Linked DNA regions of Drosophila melanogaster. The protein of the gene in region 2 interacts with the protein of the main gene of each other region in a pairwise test. Each region holds a gene or a part of one and is shown on either strand. Other genes may lie near its edges.

Evidence for each region.
Region 1: the proteins of CG6429 (region 2) and CG8997 interact in a two-hybrid assay, tested with the Drosophila melanogaster proteins (one large-scale study listed by BioGRID).

Annotation. Positions count from the first base shown.
Region 1 is NT_033779.5:13,840,683-13,851,316, reverse strand, and holds CG8997 (uncharacterized protein), read left to right. Parts: upstream 1-5,991; 5' UTR 5,992-6,054; coding exon 6,055-6,124; intron 6,125-6,188; coding exon 6,189-6,901; 3' UTR 6,902-7,402; downstream 7,403-10,634. Other genes in the region: CG7968 (uncharacterized protein), read right to left, coding at 1,084-1,636, 1,700-1,899; CG7953 (uncharacterized protein), read right to left, coding at 2,317-3,065, 3,211-3,355; CG7916 (uncharacterized protein), read right to left, coding at 3,551-4,142, 4,198-4,363, 4,434-4,539; CG33306 (uncharacterized protein), read left to right, coding at 7,611-7,689, 7,745-8,400; CG33307 (uncharacterized protein), read left to right, coding at 9,838-9,873, 9,943-10,221, 10,282-10,479.
Region 2 is NT_033778.4:16,867,555-16,877,534, forward strand, and holds CG6429 (uncharacterized protein), read left to right. Parts: upstream 1-5,460; 5' UTR 5,461-5,521; coding exon 5,522-5,765; intron 5,766-5,834; coding exon 5,835-6,070; 3' UTR 6,071-6,201; downstream 6,202-9,980. Other genes in the region: eEF1beta (eukaryotic translation elongation factor 1 beta), read left to right, coding at 758-837, 937-1,525; CG6426 (uncharacterized protein), read left to right, coding at 1,967-2,048, 3,716-3,886, 3,957-4,189; CG6421 (uncharacterized protein), read left to right, coding at 4,752-4,821, 4,879-5,294; CG6435 (uncharacterized protein), read left to right, coding at 6,274-6,331, 6,687-6,863, 6,921-7,177; CG8910 (uncharacterized protein), read right to left, coding at 8,302-8,427, 8,788-8,879, 8,956-9,377, 9,447-9,980.

The DNA.
Region 1 (10,634 bases), on a different chromosome or scaffold from region 2:
CTGCTAGTAGGCAAGGACAATGCTCAATGCAACAGACTGTCTGGTAGGTCGTAAAACTTCCTTTCAGACAATGCCACAACCAGCAGGACATCCCACAGATGGGCACCGAGCACCGAGCACGTACTCATGACAAAACCCAAAGCGGCTTTTTGTTTATTTTTGCATTATGAGACGCAAGGTGTGTCCTGAAGACACACATAGAAAAGAGAAAGATGGCTCGTAAATTGCAAATGAAATGAGCCAAAACGAATTCCATTGCGGTGAAAGAATGCCGAGGATTTTGAGCAGAGAGTTTTGAGTGGGACCACAAAAAAAAATCCAGGAGATTCACACTACAGCACTCTGAACTAATTAACAACAAATGATGACATTAGACCGCAATCTAAAAAATAATCTCAACGAAATCGGAAAAGTCTATGAAAAAAAACAGTGACAAAAAAAAACATCAAGCAGCTGCTGGCTGGCAACGCCACTCGCAAATCTGAGGCTAGAAAGTGTTGGACCGAAAATCAAAGGACCACCCGTTGAAGTCCTGCTGCGACAGGACTCGTGCTTCGCTTTTCAGCCCGGCGATTGAGATGTCCTGCTGTTGCTGCTCGGCAGCGGTTTTCTCATTTCCCAATCCGATTAGGGACTTTGCTTTCGATTGAGGGAATTCACGGCGCACAAAGATCAACAATAATTTATGGTCGAAAGTGATTAGAACACTTAATGGAGGTCCCCAAAAATAGTAATTGATGATGAAAGCCGGGAATATTTCATATACTCACTGCCAATCAACGGGAAATCTAATCGAGCTTACCTGTAAAGAGAGTAGAATAAAAAAATGATTTATTAATGCTTTAATTATAATTAAGGAAACTGTTTTTTAAATAGATATTTAGTCACCTACAAATTATTGTTAGGTTAAAGGCTCTCTATTATACTGATTTTAGATCTTGTAGCTATGAATGTAGAAAGTTTCTAACAATAAAACAATTGTAAAATACAAGTAGTTCCTTTTAATTTCTTATCAAATGATTATTAATGATTATTTTTACATTTAAGCACAGGGAACACCTGGCAATCGTTTTTGTCAGCACTTCAGCAAATTGGCTCCACCGGCAAAATTCCCTCGGCCAGGCCCAAAATGATAGCGGTAATCTCATACCAGGCCAGATTATCCAGAACCAAATTCATGGGCGGAACAATGAGCTCCTCCATGAATTGGGAAACTTCCGTGGGGTTGTCATTGATCATGATATCGAGATACTCCACGATCAGATCGTTGATGAACTTCGTGTACAGACGACTGTTCATAAAGCCCGTGGTCTGGGACTTAGCCTCCTCCAATTCCCAGTTAACCTTCCAGCTCTTGGCGTACACACCACTGGTGGCCGACTTTGGGCGAATAACGAAACTGCCGTAAGCTCGGAAATTGATCAACTCCAGACTGAGGGCACCGTCACCCCACAGGGAGAAATCGGCACCAAATAGACGAGCCAGGAGATTTAGTTTATAGTTTGTGCTCTTCAGGGAAATCTTGGGGAAGTTCATGTCGAACTTAATGGTATGCAAAATGTTGTTCCACTCCAGCTTGGAGAACTCGTACCCATCCAATCCCTCGATAATCAGATCGGTGAAGTTTCCATTGCAACTGCGGTTCAGTATGGTTCCATTAAGAATAGCTCCTATTTGTGAAGTTCTTGTTTATATTCACCCAAAGTTCTCAGTTCTGATGCCAATTTCCTTGTAGGCCATCTGAGCCGGGGCCAAAATGGGAACCCCTCTGGCCGGGTAGCCACATCGCATCTGCAAACGCAGGAACTCCGTCAGTTCGCGCAGCTCATCATCGAAGAGCTTGGCGGAGCCCAAGGAGCAGCACAGAAGGGCCACAAAAATTACACAAGAAGTTCTCATCGCGAGTGCCAAATAGGAACTGCTAACTGTTTAAACAGTACAAGTAGTTTTTTCCCTTGCCTAATCAACAAATAACGATTAGCCACTTAAGTAGCGAAAATAGATAAGATTGGATTAGGCAGGTGCAAAAGAGATAATCGATGTGTTCCCACATTCGTTTCGAGTCAGAAATGTATCAAAACATTATAATAAATATAAGTTATTCTGTTTTTAAGTCCAACCGCAATTATAATAGCTATAAAAGGTTTCTTTGTTTAGGCAAACCACATTCAGTGAATTCAGAGCATATAATTATAGATTGATTGTGGATATTGGAGCAGGAAATGAGAGTCCAATGGGATTCCACAAATAAAAACCCCAAAAGTAGACCAATAATTGAATATATCGACAAGTGTTTATTCACGGCTGTCCCATAGTTTAGGCCCAGGGATCGGCGGAGGGATCGCAATCAACGACAATCGGATCGTCCTCGCTCTCACCGTCGCTGCTGGCCAGGATCAGGTCCACGACGGTCCAGAAGTCCTTGCCCTTCAGCATCTTGTTCACTCGCGGCACGATGGCGTTCTCAATGGTCTCGGAAATGGCGTCCTGGTTGCCATTGATTCCCTTTACCACGATGTTCTCCAGCTGGCTGTTGATGGCGCGGTTGATCTTGCCGTTGCCCATGAATCCAGTGATGTCCGAAGTCACAGACTCCAACGAGATGGTGGTCTTCAGCGAGGTGATCTTGGCGGAACCCCACAGCATGGGAAGCTTGTACTTCAGAGTGCCAGCAATACGCAGGTTGACCAAATCGAACAACAGCTCTCCGGATCCCTCGTACTCCACGGACAGACCCAACTGGCGCAGGGCATCGATCAGCGTATCAGTGTCGTACTTCTGGGCGGTGGTATCGATGTTCTTGAACAGAAAATCGAAGGTAATCTTGCTGGTGATCACGTTCAGCTTGAACTTCTGGATATTGAAGTCATTCAGACCGGCGATCTTCAGGCGGAACACATGGTTCAAGGTCTCGAAAATGCCCTTTTTGTAGTCTAGGTCGAATTCGTTGATGCGAAGAGGAGCCAGCACGGGAATGCCATACTGGGGCCATCCGCACTCCATCTGCTTCTGGAGCTTGCGGATGAAGCGACGCGCCTGCCAGGACACAATAAACTGGGGGGCAACTAAAGAATGGGTTTCGATTTTGAGTTGGTAATATTTAAATTTAAATCGATAATATTTCAGAAAGCCACTAATTGCCACGAATTACGTTTGTTATTAGAATCAATTAAATACCAGGATTCATTGAAAAGTTTCACCGAGTCTCACCTTCAACTCCCTCCTGGGGCTCCGCGACCAGATCGATGTCACCATTCTGATCCGCCAGCTCCAACAGACGCTGCTCCACCTCGTTGGGCAGAGTGCCGGCGGCACAAACGGCCACCAGGCAGGCTAAGACTACCAGGAAACGCATGCTTGATTGTGACTTTTAGCAACTGAACTTGCTACTGAAATGGCCAACCCCCGGCCAGAGTCTTATATACCAAAATCCCCAGCAGACGATAACGCGTAGAAGGTGATATTGAGCGAAGATAGCAGACGGAATGGGGACTAATTAAAACGTAGATCGTGGACTCGTTTGAATTGCTTTTTATTGGCTGGTGTTGCCTTAGTCTAGCTTCCTGGACTCAATGGCCAACCAGGGAGCGGGAGTGGGATTGCAACTGCCAGTGGTGGCGGACAGCAAGCTAAAGAGATACCAGATCTTGTGACCCGTGAGATGCGCATTGGCCAGCGGCACAAAGATCTCCTCGATCTTGGCGCTGATCTGTTCCTGGTTGCCATTGATGAAGGCCGGGATCTCCTTGTCGAGCATGTCGTTGATGAACTCATTGATCCTTCCATTTCCCATTACACCGCCAATGTTCGAGGATACACCGCCCAAGCCGACGGCGCAACTGAACTTGTAGATCTTGATGGAGCCAAAGATGAAGGGCATCTTGTACTTGAACTCGCCCTGAATCGACAGATTCTGCAGGCTGAAGGACAATGGGCCCGAGCTCTCGTAGCGCACCGACAATCCCAGTTCCTTCAGCAGATTCACAAAGGTGTTGGTGTCCAAATAGTGGGCACTGGCCTTCAGCTCTGGGAAGTTGAAGTGGAACTTGACCTTCTTGCTAAAGGTGTAGCTGACCTTCATCTTCTTGATCTCCATGCCTTCCAGGCCATCGAAACGGAAGCGCAGGAACTGCAGCAGGGTACTAAGGATGACTATTAGATCCACTGATACAATCACTCCAATTAATTATAACTCACTCGACAACCGACTCGGCCAAGTGGATGCGGAGATCAGCATTGGTGTAGGGATCCAGTGGTGGAATTCCATATTGGGGCCAACCACAAGGCATTTGGTTCAGCAGTCCATTGATGGCCTTCTTCACCGATCCGTTCAAGATCAGACCCTGAGTATCGGGCTTGGCGGCTGTTTGCGGGGAATCACATTGCAATTAGTCCTCTGTTTGGTCAGGTGATGGATGGCTTAAGACACTTACGATTACGCGCCACCAGCTGGTCCCATTGCTCCTCGGTGAGCAGCTCCACATCGTAGGCCGCTACGCAGGCCAAAAGGGTCACAAAAACACAAACGATAGCTTTCATTGTATAGCCAGCCACCTGATTGATTGTCCCAGCCGGTCAGTGGCTTTTATAGCAAAGCTAGCGGATTCGAAGGGCAAGCCGAGGGGAAGGGAAGGGATCACTTAACCAGGTTAACAAATACAAATGCTAATCGCTACTTTTGATTAGCGGAGCTGCCATGAACATAACGCCCAATTCACGATAGGCTTCCGATTTAAAAACGAAGGAATCAAATCATTCGGCAAGTGGTTTGTAAAAAAAGGGAGCACTTGTTTCGCCTGAGTGGCTTGTTTTGGCCTAATCTCGACGTCCAATTGGCCAATCGATTGTCAATATCACTTAAAGAATATATATTGCCTATCATTGCGATCTGGATTATACACAAATAACTGGTCTACCGGGGGTAAAACTGCGTCAACCACTCCATGCAGGTGTCGGCGGATTACACTGGATGACCGATTCGTATCACTCAGTGGGGGTAAATTCTTTTGTCTTCAGAGCTTCAGTGGCTTTTTTGTACTCTTTAGAACCTTAAAGGCGTACTAAAAAGTGATTTATTGCTATTCTGATTACGATTTTACAAGGGGAACTAACACAATGGGTAAACTACTTATTGATAAACATATTGGGCTAGGACTGGCGTTAACTTTAAAGCCAATAATTCGTTAAGAGAGTATTTGACTAGCCATCAGGTGTTAATCGTCTGGATTTTTTTATTAATAGATCCATTCGTAAGACCTTTAAATACCCCAGTCGAGATATCATTCATAAATCACTCAATGCACTTAAAAATCACTTGATTGTTAATCAATAAACAAACTTTTCGCAGACTTTAGATCCGCAGAAGTGCATGGAGAATTTTAATTCCAAACAGACTTCTTTAGAAGATTATAATCATGCTAAATTTTTGGTAGTCGTTTTCAATTTTGATAATTACTTTGTTAAAATGTTTCCTATTGGCTTCAACACCTGCATGACCTTAAAATATCGATTGATGGAAAGTTTTCGTAAGACCATACATTTAATGTATGAGTACTCTGTAATCGCGAAACTAATGATTTTAAAATCTTGTTTCCAAGTCAACCACTAATCCTACACCTTCTTTTTTAGAAAACGTTTTAGAAAAACACACTTTTTTGAAGCCTTCTAACCATAACAAAGCGGGGACACACCCCAAATAGACTTTGATCTTGACACTCCTCCACAAGAAGGCAATGTTTGTACTTTAGTGAAAACTGTCTTTTTAAATCTGATCATTTCCTTAGGATAAGTACCCCCATGTATGTATATATAACTAATCATTAAAATTAAAAAATTTGCCAACCGGGGAATCGTTGGCCGAGATAAGACAGCAATAGGCCATCGATTGAACGCCCGGTGGCTAATCAAATCGTTCACGAGTACGAAGCCACCTTATCACAACCCCACCTGAAATGTTGATCGTCTATAAAAAGCGACTCGTGCGACCGGACGACTGAGTAGTATAAATACCGTAGGTACTACGATCAGTCGGTAGGACTCTCAGTCAAAGCAATAATGAAAATCTTCGTGGCTATTTTGGCTTTTGTGGCCGTTGCCAGTGCGGCTTCCATGGGCCAGCCCATTGGTGAGTATTCCAGATGATTTCCAATGCCCAAATATTTAGCATACCTATCCATTTGATTCTCTAGAAACCCAGTCGATCTCCAGCACGATTGTGGATGTGATCGAGGGCATTAAGGAGCAGATGCCCTGTGGCTTTACCAGTGTCGGCCTGCCGCCATTGGCTCCTCTTAGAATTGACCATCAGGATATCAACATCGATAGCAGCGTGCTGAAGGCTCAGGGAACCATTGATCACTTCCGCCTGAACGGTCTGAATGATTTTGATATCGATGAGATGAAGGTCAACGCCATCACCAGCAAGGTGACCTACAAGTTCACTTTCCGCGACGTGAACGTGGATACCCAATACGATTTGAGTGTGCTGCTAAAGAAGTACGGATTTACCATCAATCTGATCGGTGCCGGACATGCCAAATTCGCCATCAAGGATATGGTTATCTGGGGCACTATGAAGTACTCACTCGGCGTGATCAGCGGCAACCTGAAGCTGAAGTCATTGGAGGTCCGCACCCACTTGGGTGAGGTTGATTCCGAGATCGAGGGCATCCTGGGCGATGGCAGCATCAACGAGAAGATGAATGAGTACTTGGCCGAGGCCGTGGAGCTGGCCATCAATGAGAACGAAGATCTGATTGCCGATACCATCGAGAGTATTGCCCTGCCCGCCGTCAACAGCGTTCTGGACGACATCAGCATCGCCGAGATCATCTCCGGTGCCGGTGGTGATGGTGAGGGTGGAGAGAAGGAGGCCTGCATTCCCCCCGAGTTCGAGTGGTAAACAAATCATCGGTCATTAAACAACCGTTTATGAATCAAGAATTCGTCACCTGGCTCTTTTCTTGCGGGACTGGCTTTCGGTGGGTTTTTTTTTGTTCATTGCATTGGGAAATTTAAACGATGTTTTAAAAAGCTTAATATTTACAACATCCATCAGCTTTCATTATATTTCAAAGACGGTCTAATCTCAAGTTGTGTCCTATCTGTCATAAAACACTTTGCCAAATTATTTGCCGATTAATAAAGCTACTTCACATGCACAGAAAAAAAATGTAGATTCATACAAAATAATATAATAAGATATAGCGATTTTCAGAATATGATTTTTATATCAAAGGGAATATCTTAGAGCACTGTACTCAATACCTCACCATTTTGTGTCAATAAACAATAATTTTGATATGAGAGGAATGCCCCTAATATTTCTTTAAACCTTTATAAACACTAATTATTTAAGAATAAATAACAAATTGTTCCATATTTCAACCATGTTTTTGTAAATATAAGCCAAGAAAGCATTCACTGTTTATTCACTGTACATAGAAGTTTTCCTAATATTAAAATTTTTTAATCTAGACACTGATATTTTTGTGCTGTGTACCGATAGATTATCTCAATGGTCATTTTCCTATATAAGAGGAATGGATTTGGCAAGCTTCGACTAGTGGATTTTGATTGCCAAAAGGGTTAACTAGTGTTCTGTGCTAAGAATGAAGTCTGCATTCCTGATTGCGCTTATCGTGGCCCTGGCCAGCTGTCAAGGTGCCGAAGTTGCCGAACCTTTGTCAGGTGAGAATATGAAGAAAATTTTAGGGAAAATTTAATAATCATAGTTAATTTTCAGCCCAAGGACGCTCTTTCTCCAGCGTAATTGTGGACGGATTGGAGGCATTCAGGGTCGTCCTGCAAAATGGTAGCCCGAGATTTGGAATCCCCGTTATGGCACCCATGAAGGCGGCGCAGAGGTCGTTCGAAATCAACTCGGGAGAATTCAGTGGCACCTTTGGAGTCGAGAACTTTGAACTTCAGGGGCTCGATCAGTACGAGATTATCACCATGAACATGGACGTGATCAGGAGTCGCTTGACCTTCAACATCAACTTTGCCAGCCTTAACTTCACCACCGATTACGAGATGGACATGGGCAGTGGCTATCGCATCAAGCGCAACGGTGGCGCCTTCTTTGCTCTCGAGGATCTGAACATTCAGGGTAGAATTAGCTACTCCCTGGGCGTGTTCACTTCCCAGCTTCGTGTGAAGGATGTCCTGATTTACCCCTCCGTCGGCAATGTCAACTCACAGATCGAGAACCTGTCCAAGTACCGAATCTTCAATCGCAAACTGAACGAGATCATCGAGGAGTTCGTAACCCTGACGATTAATGAAAACACCGACTTTGTTGCCGCCTGGGTCAGCGAACAGGCTACTCCCATTTGCAATGATCTGATCGGAGACCGAACTCTGAGTGATATCATTGCGATTATTACGGGAGGAAACTAATTAGGCCAAATAAACTCTACATATTATCCAAAACAAGTGCATAATCCAATTTTCGGTGGTCAAAAACGTGCGGGCCATAAACCATGTGCGGATTGGTTTATTTCACTGCCCACCAGGGCAGGGAAAACACGCAATTTGCTTAATCTAATCTCACAGATTAGACTTATAATAGCATTTCCTTTGCTAAAAATGATTAGGCCCTCTAGCTCTGTAGTTTTTTATAACTCTACTTTTACTCTAATTTATCAACATATTTCAATTGGTTCAATGCTTGTGTACAATTAGTATTGTTTTCAAAACAAAGGAAATTTTACTCAAGAAGTTCTGTTTAGTATAAATTCTTGATTTGGAGTTACAAGTTATATTGTCAAGAAGATCATCTTCAGGAGTCTTTTTGAAGGGAATTATAATGCTTGAAGTGAACTTTACAAGTTACATTTTATCAGATTGGCCCAACTTTTTACCGTTTCGTGATACGCCACATTTAATAAAAATTCCTTTTTTTAGATCAATCCAAATATAGCTCAATTGTGTTGCCTACTTTTTTGCGGTAGACCTTTATATTTGCCATCGGCTTATTTTTGGCTGAGCTATTTGAGCAATGAGGTGTTTAAATTCCACTGCATACTTTCTAGTAGCGTGTAAGGTAAAAAAATGTATAACTTAAAAATGTCAAATGTAAAGTGAGTGCGTAGAGTTTGTAAAAAATAAGTGTCCAATCTTATTTTAGCGTTTTAGCATTGCTAGCATAATTATTAAAAATATCAGTAGTTTGCAGAATACATTACAAGTAGTTAAGAACTACTATACCTGCGCCAATACATAAAAGTATGTATGTCAAATAATTTGAATAGTTATGAATGAACAGTAAAATAGGTAATAAACAACTTGTCTGTACAAAGCATACAAATATAGAAAAACTTTCGGCGTCTGTAAAAATAGGTATTTAATAAAATTAAATAATATATGAGAACATATTGCAACGGAGTTCCCAAATTAATTGTTTTGTGTACGCAAACCTATGTATGTTTCTTCTTACCATACCCTTGTCAAGGTTATTCCTATGTTTGTTGATAACAAAAAACATGCGAGCGCCATACCACCCAGACAGCTAGACAGACCTTGACAGCGAATAAAGATAGATCAATGGCTAATATGCTCTCCGAATCTAAAAACGTGTTTCACTAACTTTAGCTGAAACGCAATTCAGATGACATCGAATTCCTAAATTTGTTGGGAAAAGCTTATTATCATCTGCGAAATCGGGAAAGAGCAAAACAAAATTCCTAGCAGGAGAAACCCTTGGGAGCTTATCAGGCACCCGAGAGATTCGAACATCCCACTGCTAATCAAAACATGCCTGCTGCTCCCACCAATTAGTTTGAAAACACCATTCATTGAGTGAGGAGGCTTTCGATTTTTTATCAATAAGACGCGATGCTGAAATATATTCCTTTACTTTTAGTAGCCCAGGTTAGGAATGCGTTAAGTTCTCCAAATTTATTAAAATACTAAAAAAAAAAACTGTCTTTAATTGAACAGCTATTAATAGTGGCTGCCAAGCCCACAAATCCACAACTCCTAAACTCCGATGATCCAGTGCAAAGGGAGTTGGAGAGACAGGCCAAGGAGGAGACAGTCCACCTGCTGAACTCGTTGTTCCGATCACAAATCGCCTATTTCTCCGAGGTGAAGGCCGCTCTGAATCCCCAGACCAAGCGATTCCAAGATATCAGTCTTTATATAACGCGCCTGAGCCAAGCCATTGATGAGCAGGAACTGGACCGAAAGGATGAGCTGTGGCAGAATATCTTCGAAGAGGTAATAGATACCTACATTGGTATTCATCAAATAAACAAACTGTTAATATCCCTTTTGCAGTTCAAGGACTCTCCACTGCTGATTAATCGGCAATCCGAGACAGGACTCACCGACTTGCAATATAAGACACTCCTGACCGGCCAGAAGCTGCAGAATATATCCACCAAGTTCGTGAGCGATGTGGCCGATTACTTCTGGGAAATGGCCAAGATTAGTGGCAAAGTCGTTGGCAATGGGATAGCGAGCCAGAACGAATAGTAAATCTCAATAAACTATAAATGTATCGAACGAACGGTATGTCTTATTTCGCAAATAATTATTCCAGCAACGTAGTCACAAATTTATTGACAAACCCACACCAAGGCGCAATCGACATACTTAAATTTCCAAATTTGAATTCACTGTTGACACAT
Region 2 (9,980 bases):
GTTTAAGTGGCTTTCGAATGTCTACTCTGCCTTATTGTTGAGCCGTTTTTTTCATGCGCTTCTACGTTTTTTTTTTTAATTTTTCTTTCGGCTTTTCAGTGAAAATTATGCGTTTGCAAAAAAATTGTGTAGCATTATAGCTTGATTGGAGGCGTTTTTTCACCCTCATGATTTTCACTGCAACGGTAACACTGCGCATAAGATATTCACGGTTTTAGTCCGCGCTTTTGGTATATTTGTGTTAAATTAAATATTCAATGACTTATATGAATTTATTTGAAAGTAAAGGATCTACTTAAACTTAATTTCTATTAAGCCCAAGCTCCCAATTTGTGTGAATTTGCCCAAGGAAATGCATATTGTTTTCACAAGTTACAAAGTAGAAGCATACAATTTCTATACAATTTTTTTCCTTTTCAGAATATTAAATGTAATTGTTTGGCCTTAAATTTACGTAGCCAATAGCTAGCTTAAGTATAAGGTATTAATTATAATCCTTATGTTTTATTAAAAAAAATACAAGTAAGCGTTAAAAATCTATTTGAATGTATGGTATATTTGAACGATATTTACTCAAACTCCGGGTCACCCTGTGTTGCAACTACTTGAAATACTAGGAAAAAGTCAGTATTTTCATTATATGTTTAAAGACCGTTTCCCGCGAAGGTCACTCTGTTCTTCTTTCGTCGGCAACGTTGCGCAGAGCACGGCTCCAGATTTGTTAAACGCGAATTTACCCCACAAAAACGCATTTAAAATGGCATTCGGTGATGTGACCACCCCGCAGGGACTGAAGGAGTTGAACGCCTTCCTGGCCGACAACAGCTACATCAGCGGGTAAGCACGCGTCATTAAATGTGAGGTTATGTACGACCTCACCACGTCGGCAGATGTATTGATCGAATAATTTTCTACCCATTACTATACTCCCATTAGATATACTCCCAGCAAGGCCGATCTGTCCGTGTTCGATGCTCTGGGCAAGGCCCCCTCTGCCGACAATGTGAACGTGGCCCGCTGGTACCGCCACATCGCCTCCTTTGAGGCCGCTGAGCGTGCCGCTTGGTCGGGTACTCCTCTGCCCCAGTTGGCCGGTGGAAAGCCCACAGTGGCTGCTGCTGCCAAGCCCGCCGCCGACGATGACGACGATGTGGATCTATTCGGATCCGACGACGAGGAGGACGAGGAGGCCGAGCGCATCAAGCAGGAGCGAGTTGCCGCTTACGCCGCCAAGAAGTCTAAGAAACCCGCCCTCATTGCCAAGTCGTCGGTGCTCCTCGATGTCAAGCCCTGGGATGACGAGACCGACATGAAGGAGATGGAGAACAATGTCCGCACCATCGAAATGGACGGTCTGCTGTGGGGCGCCTCCAAACTGGTCCCAGTCGGCTATGGCATCAACAAGTTGCAGATCATGTGCGTCATCGAGGACGACAAGGTGTCCATCGATTTGCTGCAGGAGAAGATCGAGGAGTTCGAGGACTTTGTTCAGTCTGTCGACATTGCTGCCTTCAACAAGATCTAAACATCTGAGATTCTTATATTAACAATAAACTTGAGCAAAGCGAACTAAGCAAATATAGTTGTCTTCATATTTAAATAAAATATTTCACATGAAAGCTGCAATAAGCCAATCATAATTCAGATTGTAAAAACACATCAGTTTTATTGGAATAATGATTGAAATTTTGTAATTTTCACCAAAAAGTATACTTTTATAATCGGTAAAAATCTCTAATCTCTTTAGTTGGCTTGCTGGCTCTCTCAAGTTCTCAGCTTAAGTCTTCCGTTTTGAAGCTTTCGGCGAGCTTTTGTCAACAAAAAAGCGAAGCTCGTAGCACTTTCAGCTCAGTTGATCGGGCAGCTCGATAGAGGTCGGTTGTTTACAGATAGTTGTGATACTGTTCAGTGACTTTTCAAATTGCATTTGCAAACAAATATTTTTCGGACACAAGTACTGCTTATAATGGCTGCCAACAAATTGTGCTGCACTTTGGCTATTGGCGCTCTTTTGTGTCTGGGATTCGCAGCCCTCATTCAAGCTCAGGGTGAGTTAAATACATCGAAAACTATATATTTACATTATATAGGCGAGAACATTTCCGTTCTTGTTATTGTTCGCGAGACGTATTTGTTACGCATTTGCTGAGATTTGCTTTTAACACGAAATATACAAATACCTGATCGTCTGCATTCATTAACATTAATTAGCAATTGTATAGATATTTGAGTCTTTTGTTCTGCGCCAAGACATGTTTCGTTCTTGAGCGGATTTCCCAGATATATTTATCCATCCATCGTGTTTGTCGCCATTTGCATACGACAAGTATCTGGAGGTTGACAAACGTCCATTTAAACTCGGGGATTTCTGATCGGTTTCAGATTCCATAATCGACCATCCATCATCTAAAACACGGGCCGTTGACATCGTTAGTTTTCAATAACGCATCATTGCCATTGAAATTACTTCCGATTAGTATACATCTATTACATTGGCGGAAATTAATTGGTATTAAGTTTGAAAATCATCTATTAATCGTTGGCAGTAATTTGAAGTGAACTCTTTGCTTCTCTGTTTAATAAATTAATTGTCTAAATGGGTAATTAGCAGAAATCAATCAGTCGTTATTTTTGCATTATTCGCGAAAAGGATGTAGTTTTACTGGAGATTTCCCCGAATCCGGAACAGTATTTTGCGGTGCACATCGGTACTCCATTGTTAGACCTCAAAAAATCCCACTTTCGTGACAATTTGCTGCGTGTGGGTTATCTCTGGGTCAGGAAAACCCCGTGAAAAGGTGTTTATATAAACTAAAATATGCACTGATATGATATGTTTTAGAAAGGTGGAAATATATAAAAGGTCTTTAATCTTGACCCAATTTTTATGCCTTTGAAGATTACTTTGCATAGGTCACTGAACTCAGAAACCTCAGAGTTTTGCTCGTGTGTGTGGGTGAGCCAGAAGGCTAGATGACATGCTGTGCTTCACGCTTCTTTCGATCTTTTCGCAAAATTGGCAAAATGCCGATACTCGTTAAAAATACAAAATTTAATTACAAGAACAAGGTCTTGATAACGCCGATTAATTGACTCATCCTCGCCTACGCGCTGCCAGATTTTGTTCTACGGAGATGCTTCAATGTTTCCATTGAAAGTTGCAAAACTAGTTCGATACAAAATGGGATGGGAACGTGAGGCCGATGGATTTCAGGTTCATGGGCGTGCAAGCAACGGAATTGCTTTTCGTTTCTTGGATATATTTTATAATTTTATTGAATTTTTGAAATTTATGAACCCGCTCGCACCGGGGAAACACAGATAACACACTAGGATTAGTTTTATTGTAGTACCTGTTGTTATTTTACACGGAAATCTCTTCGGTTGGAATTTATAATAATGAACGTAAGAAATTTTAAAAGAATTTTTAACAAGTTCAAGATAAGACACCTAAACCAAATTGGTCAACTGGATTTTTTGTTTAATTAGTTTCCTACTACTTTTTTCTGTGAGCTGCTAAAATTTCAAAGTCTTCAACTTGTTATAACTCTTAAAAATTCAAAACATTACCAAATGCTCTGAATAAAGCGATGACATGATCTGGGCAAATCTGCACTGCTAACGCTCTTTTGAGGCTAATCTGGAAAATAAAATAAAAATAAAAATGAACTGAACTGATTTGATTTGATTTGAATGATCTTTAAACCCGAAACAGATAAGCCGGTGACTGATGTGTGCCTGGGATGCATCTGCGAGGCCATCAGTGGATGCAACCAGACACGTTACTGCGGCGGCGGAGTCTGCGGCCTGTTTCGCATCACCTGGGCATATTGGGCCGACGGCGGCAAGCTGACCTTGGGCAACGAGAGTCCCCAGTCGGAGGATGGTGAGTGTCCCATCCATTACCTATGCAATAAACCTTATCATACATCTGATGCACATTAATCTCGCTGCAGCGTATGCCAATTGCGTGAACGATCCCTACTGCGCGGCCAACACGATCCAGAATTACATGACCAAGTTCGGCCAGGACTGCAATGGAGACAACGCCATCGATTGCTACGACTTTGCTGCCATCCACAAGCTGGGCGGCTATGGATGCAAGGGCGAGCTGAGCTACCAGTACCAGACGCAGCTGACCAACTGCCTTAATTCGTTCCAGCAGATCGACGTGCGCTCTAGCATATAAACACATTAACTTGCTAAATTTATATTGTAATTAAATTTAAATAATGTAATAATTAATTATTTATGGCAATGCATTTGAATTCGATTCAGAATAAATGACAATACAAGCAAATATTTTTAACTTTTCAGTGCTTCACACTTGTTTCATAAATTTAGTAAATTATTTCGAATGGACAAAAAAAATAATTATTGTAATGAATTTTACTTATTTGTTAGGGTTATTCGTGTAAAAAACATTTTACATTCCTTGCTTACATACATATTCTCTACATCTTGGCTTGAAATACAGTAAAATTAAACTAGTCTTTAACACACGCTTTAAAATATTTAGGAGTCGCAGTGTAGCATACTTTTTGTTGTAAGTTTCAACTGGGAGTCAGTGAGTGGGGGTATGTAGTAGAACTATTCTTAACACTTTGTGTGGATGCGCCCTATAAACCGGTATTACCCGCTAGATTGGCGCATTTACCGGGTACTGAGTACTCAGTTCATGGGAATCGCTAGAACCATTCGCAGTTTCAGGGGCAGAGGAATTGGATGTTATTACTTTAACCAGCCGGAAAATGCGAGTTTTCCTGCTATATTCCATATATTTGCTGCTGGTGCTGTCGCCTTCATTGGTTCAAGGCCAAGGTACGTTTTTTCCGCCAAAAATATATGTGCTATATGTACAATAAATTGCGTAAACAGGTCATGTGCTGGATAAGCCGGTAACGGAGCTGTGTCTCACCTGCATTTGTGAGGCCATTAGTGGTTGCAATGCCACGGCGATTTGCACCAGTGCGGAAAAGGGAGCATGCGGCATATTCCGCATCACCTGGGGATACTGGGTGGATGCTGGCAAACTGACGGTAAATGGAGAGCATCCCGATTCGGAAAAGGCTTTCATCAACTGCGCCAAGGATCCGCACTGTGCCGCCGATTTGGTGCAAAACTATATGAAGAAGTTCAATCAGGATTGCAATGATGATGGTGAGATGGATTGCCACGATTATGCTCGAATCCATAAACTGGGGGCTTATGGCTGCCAAGCGGACATGCCCTACAATTTCCAGAGTGTGTTCGAGGAGTGCATCGAGAGGTACGAGGATGAGGGATTTGAGTAAATAAAAAATAAACATTATATATATATGTTAATAAACTTAATATTTTTATTTACCCGGGAATCACCGCTGATTGGAAACCAGATCGGTGCATTTCCTATAACTGAAATTAGTCACCTTCGATGGCGCTCATTTTCGATAATAAAAACCAGTAGTCACTGCTGAAATCGTTTCAGTGGCTGAACAATCGCGAAAGGCATCGAATCGGAAGTGAATACACATCTCGAGCTATGCATAGTGCACATATATTATTTTTCGTACTCGGGCTCACATTCGTTGGCATTTGGGTTCAAGCCGAGGTCCAAAAACCCATCACGGAACAATGCCTGATCTGTATGTGTGAGGCTTTGAGTGGCTGCAACGCGACGGCTGTGTGCGTGAATGGGGCATGTGGCATTTTCAGGATCACTTGGGATCAGTGGGTGGACTCAGGCAGATTGACCATACCTGGCGACTCGCCATTGACGGATAGTTGTAAGAACTGCGTTTATCTGTCAATTTAGTGCATTTACTTACTTACCTTTGAATTTACAATATACTCAGCTTTTACCAACTGCGCCAATGATCCGTATTGTGCGGCCGATACTTTGCAGAGTTATATGGTGAAGTACGGACAGGATTGCAACGATGATCAGAAGGAGGACTGTTACGATTATGGTGCCATTCACTATATGGGTCCCTTCAACTGCAAGGCGGATATGCCCTACACCTACGAGAGCATTTTCAAACGATGTTTGAGGAACGCGATGCGGAATGACAAGCGTCAGAATTCCAGCTAGGCCTAATGCAACTTTTTCTAGTATTTAGCAACTAACTTATGAGGAAGAGTCCGTTTAATTTATGTGCAAATAACTCATAGCTAATATAGGCGTTAATTTCGATTAATAAACTAGTGGCTTGGAGTCAACTGAGATCAGTTGTTTGGTCAACACGGCACTTGCAGGTCGGGTTCTCGATTCTCGATCGGATTCAAAGCTCAGTTATGCTACGATTGCTAGTTTGTTTGTGGCTACTGGTGTACAGTGGTTCCAGCTATGAGGGTAAGTGCTACCCAGCTACACAAGCCATCAATTCCGTAGCGATAGTACCTTATAACCACTGTGTTACGTAGTTGACGTGGTGCTCTATAATTATGGTAATCCATCTGGGTTCGCTGTAAAATAAAGCCAGTTTATAGGAATAGCTTTATACTATAAAGCCGGCTGTAACATCCGCCCATTTCCACTTTTCTCGTACACTGAATATAATTTATTCATTAGCTCCATAATATAATGCTTTTTTGATATTTAAAAAGTCTTCTTAAGAAAAATCACATTTATACAAAAATTATCTTCTTTCTTTTTTTTTTTGATGAAATAAGTATGTATTGATTAGTATTTCTTTCTGTGTATTTAGTGCAAAACAAACCCGTCACGGAAGATTGCCTAGACTGTCTATGCGAAACAATGAGTGGCTGCAATGCATCCGCAATTTGCGTAAATGGGGCCTGCGGTATATTCCGAATCACTTGGGGCTACTGGGTGGAGGCGGGCAAACTAACTTTGCCCACAGATACAGCTCTCTCCGAAGACGGTATGTTCAGGATATCCAAGTAATAGATCCATTTCAATTCCCCAGTCCTTTTCTCAGCTTTTACGAACTGCGTTAATCAGCCCCACTGTGCAGCGAACACGGTGCAGAATTATATGTTCAAACATGGCCAGGATTGCAATGGAGACGAGCACATCGATTGCCTGGATTTCGGAGCACTCCACAAACTGGGCAATCTGAAGTGCCAGGAAGAGTTGCCCTACATCTTTGCCAAAGTCTTCAATCGATGTCTGAAATCCAAGGAGCGGATGGCAGAGGAAAAGATCATCAAGGAGCAGGAAACGGTTTCAACATAATTGATTCTTTATTGGGTTTCATCGTTTCCCACTTTTCGGGGATATATTTGTCTGTTTTTAAAACAATCCTGGTAACACATATACACGTACATACATCGAAACATTGCTTATGTTTGCATTTGAACAGTTTCCAATATAGGTATGGATTCTATAGATTTAGTTACAGATACAGATATATATATATAATATATATAGAGGGGTATATGAAAACTACTTTAATATGCTCTCGCTTTTTGTAAACATGTTAACATACTGGTAGTACATAGTTATTAATTTATTCAGATTCTGGCTTACGTTTGCTAAAGCTTGGCTCTAACATTGGTTTGCCATTCAGTGGTCATGGTTCTATATCTCGAGATGAGGTTCTCTCTATTAAGGGGTATTCTGTTTGGTAGTCTAGTATATGGAAACTTGAAAGTAAAAAGGACTGTTACGGATATTTTCATCAGAATCTGTTCAAATTGAAATTGTTTCAACAACCTTTTTAATTGGTAATGATTCATGTTGAGACTGAGACTGAGGCAATGTCGAACGAAAGGCAGCAATATCATCCTATTCTTATCATATCTCTAGACGGTGAAGAGTTATGAAAGTGGGCAGTGAACGTAATGAAAACTAAGTGGAAGTTTCTGCTTACGACTATAAACGAAATGAAAGCAAAATATTAGTGAAAAAATCAGTGCTTGCCAAAGGTTTATCATTTAAATACAAATGTTTGGCATAGTTTTTCTTTTGAATTAAAAGCATTAAATGCCAAAAACGCCCACAAAAGAAGTAAATATGCAGACACAAGTACAATGAAGGTGATTTAAATTTCACGATTCTACAGTGAATTCTTTTTTTTAAGAAACTATTTTTAAATATTTGGCTTCTCTATTTTCTATTTCGAGTAAAAAATCATGGAAATGATTGAGGCCTAACTGACAAATTACGTTCATAAAATTACAATCAAGCTCGATTCATATGGGTAGGGGGTGTTGAGGTGTGTGAGTTGGAGGTCTGATTCCATCCGATCCTATCTGGCTTGATATAGTACGGTTACACGGGTACTTGGTGATGATCTTACATGGCTAGAATTGCAACTGGAAATATGCGTTTTTGCTGGCTAATTGGGTGCCCTTCCCTCACTTCTTGCTGTTCCCATCGTTGGCCAACAGCAGCTCCTTGGCCTCCTTCTTGCCCCGCTTCTTCTCCTCCTTGGCGTGCAGCTTGGCCAGACGCTCCTCCTCCTTGGCCAGTCGCTTTTCCTCCTGCAAAATTGAGAGTGAATAAACTTGGCTTGCATTTGCATGCAGTGGAAATCATAAACAAGAAAATCGGAATTGTTAGCGCTTTATGAGCCAGCCGTGCTCATAAGTTTGGAAATTTATGCTTTGCCGGCACAAAAGGTTCAGCATTTCCCCGCCAATTTCCCTAAGCCCTTTCGCCCGCGATTAATGAAAAACTTTTCCAAAACAGTTGGTAAAAAGAAAAAAGGGGAACGAGGCCAATTACAAACAATGCAAATATGCACAGGCTGGTTCAGAAACTCTTAAGGGTGGGGGAAAACAATGCATCCTGCTAACAAAAAAGGAACGCGAGTACAACGGATTCTCTGCAATTTCACCCACCTTTCTGGCTTCCTTCTCAGCCTTCAGCTTGAGCTTTTCCTCCTTTTTCTTGCGCTCAACAGATTCGTTCTTCTTATTGTCAGCCTTCTCTCCTGGAATTCAAAGTTTTTGGGTGATATGATAAGCGAGTAAGCGATTTTGCTATAAAAACCACTTTTTAAAACTCACTCTGATTACTGGCGGCGGAGAAAAGCGGAAAACTGCGACTGGAAGAGCTTGACGAGGGCTTGGGATTACTAGCCGATCCAGCTCCAGTTGATCCTGAATTGGCAGCAGAACATCCAGCTGATGCCCTCGAGCAGCCTGCTCCTTGTGGAGTCGACTTGGAGGCAGTACCAGTAGCTTTCCCTTGCGGAACAGAAGCTGGCTGCTTCTTATCCTTGGGCATCACGTAAGCGTTTTTCGGCAGCGAGTTCTTCGAGGTCAGTGGGCAGATCTTTGCCCCGCCCGCCTTCAAAGGGGGCGGGGCCAGTGCGGAGCAGCTCAGCTGGATGTTCATCGGACTGGGGCGACGTGGCGGAGGCGACGATCCGGATTCACGCAGCAACGGAGCCAGTTCATGGGCACTGGACTTTGTATAAGTGGAGTAACTGCAAGGAGACATCGATAACCATTTATATCATATATAAATACATATTTGATCCTGGTATTCCACTCACCGAAATCTGGGATTGCTGACGTGCACGGGCGAAGGATGCGGCACTTTGGCCGGACTGCGGAACTCCTTGATCGGCGGCAGGCGGTTCTGGATGTCCATCAGTCGGTTCTTTACATGCCTTCGGCCAGGATACGTATGCGTAGGCGTCATCATTCCACTTGGTACACTACCGTTGCCGTTGCCCACTCCTCCTCCCCCACTTCCGCTCGACGATGAACCGGAAATGGGCGTGGATGAGCTATTGGTGAGCGTGTGAAGCGGTTTTCTTGGCACGGCACCGGAGCAACCAATGGGACACCCACCATGATGCGAATGTGAAGTTCCATTTTCCCGCGGTGAAAGGGAACTGCCCGATGATCCCGATGGAGTGGGTGAGGCCAGACTATGACTGTGATGGTGGGTGGTGGGCGATGGCGGTGCCAGGTGATTGGAGCTGGAAGCCACGGCCGGCGAGGCCGGTGAGCAGGGACCGTTGCTCGATATGGAAGACGTCTTGGAGTAGTGTGAATAACCGGAGGCCGATGAAGCCGCCGAT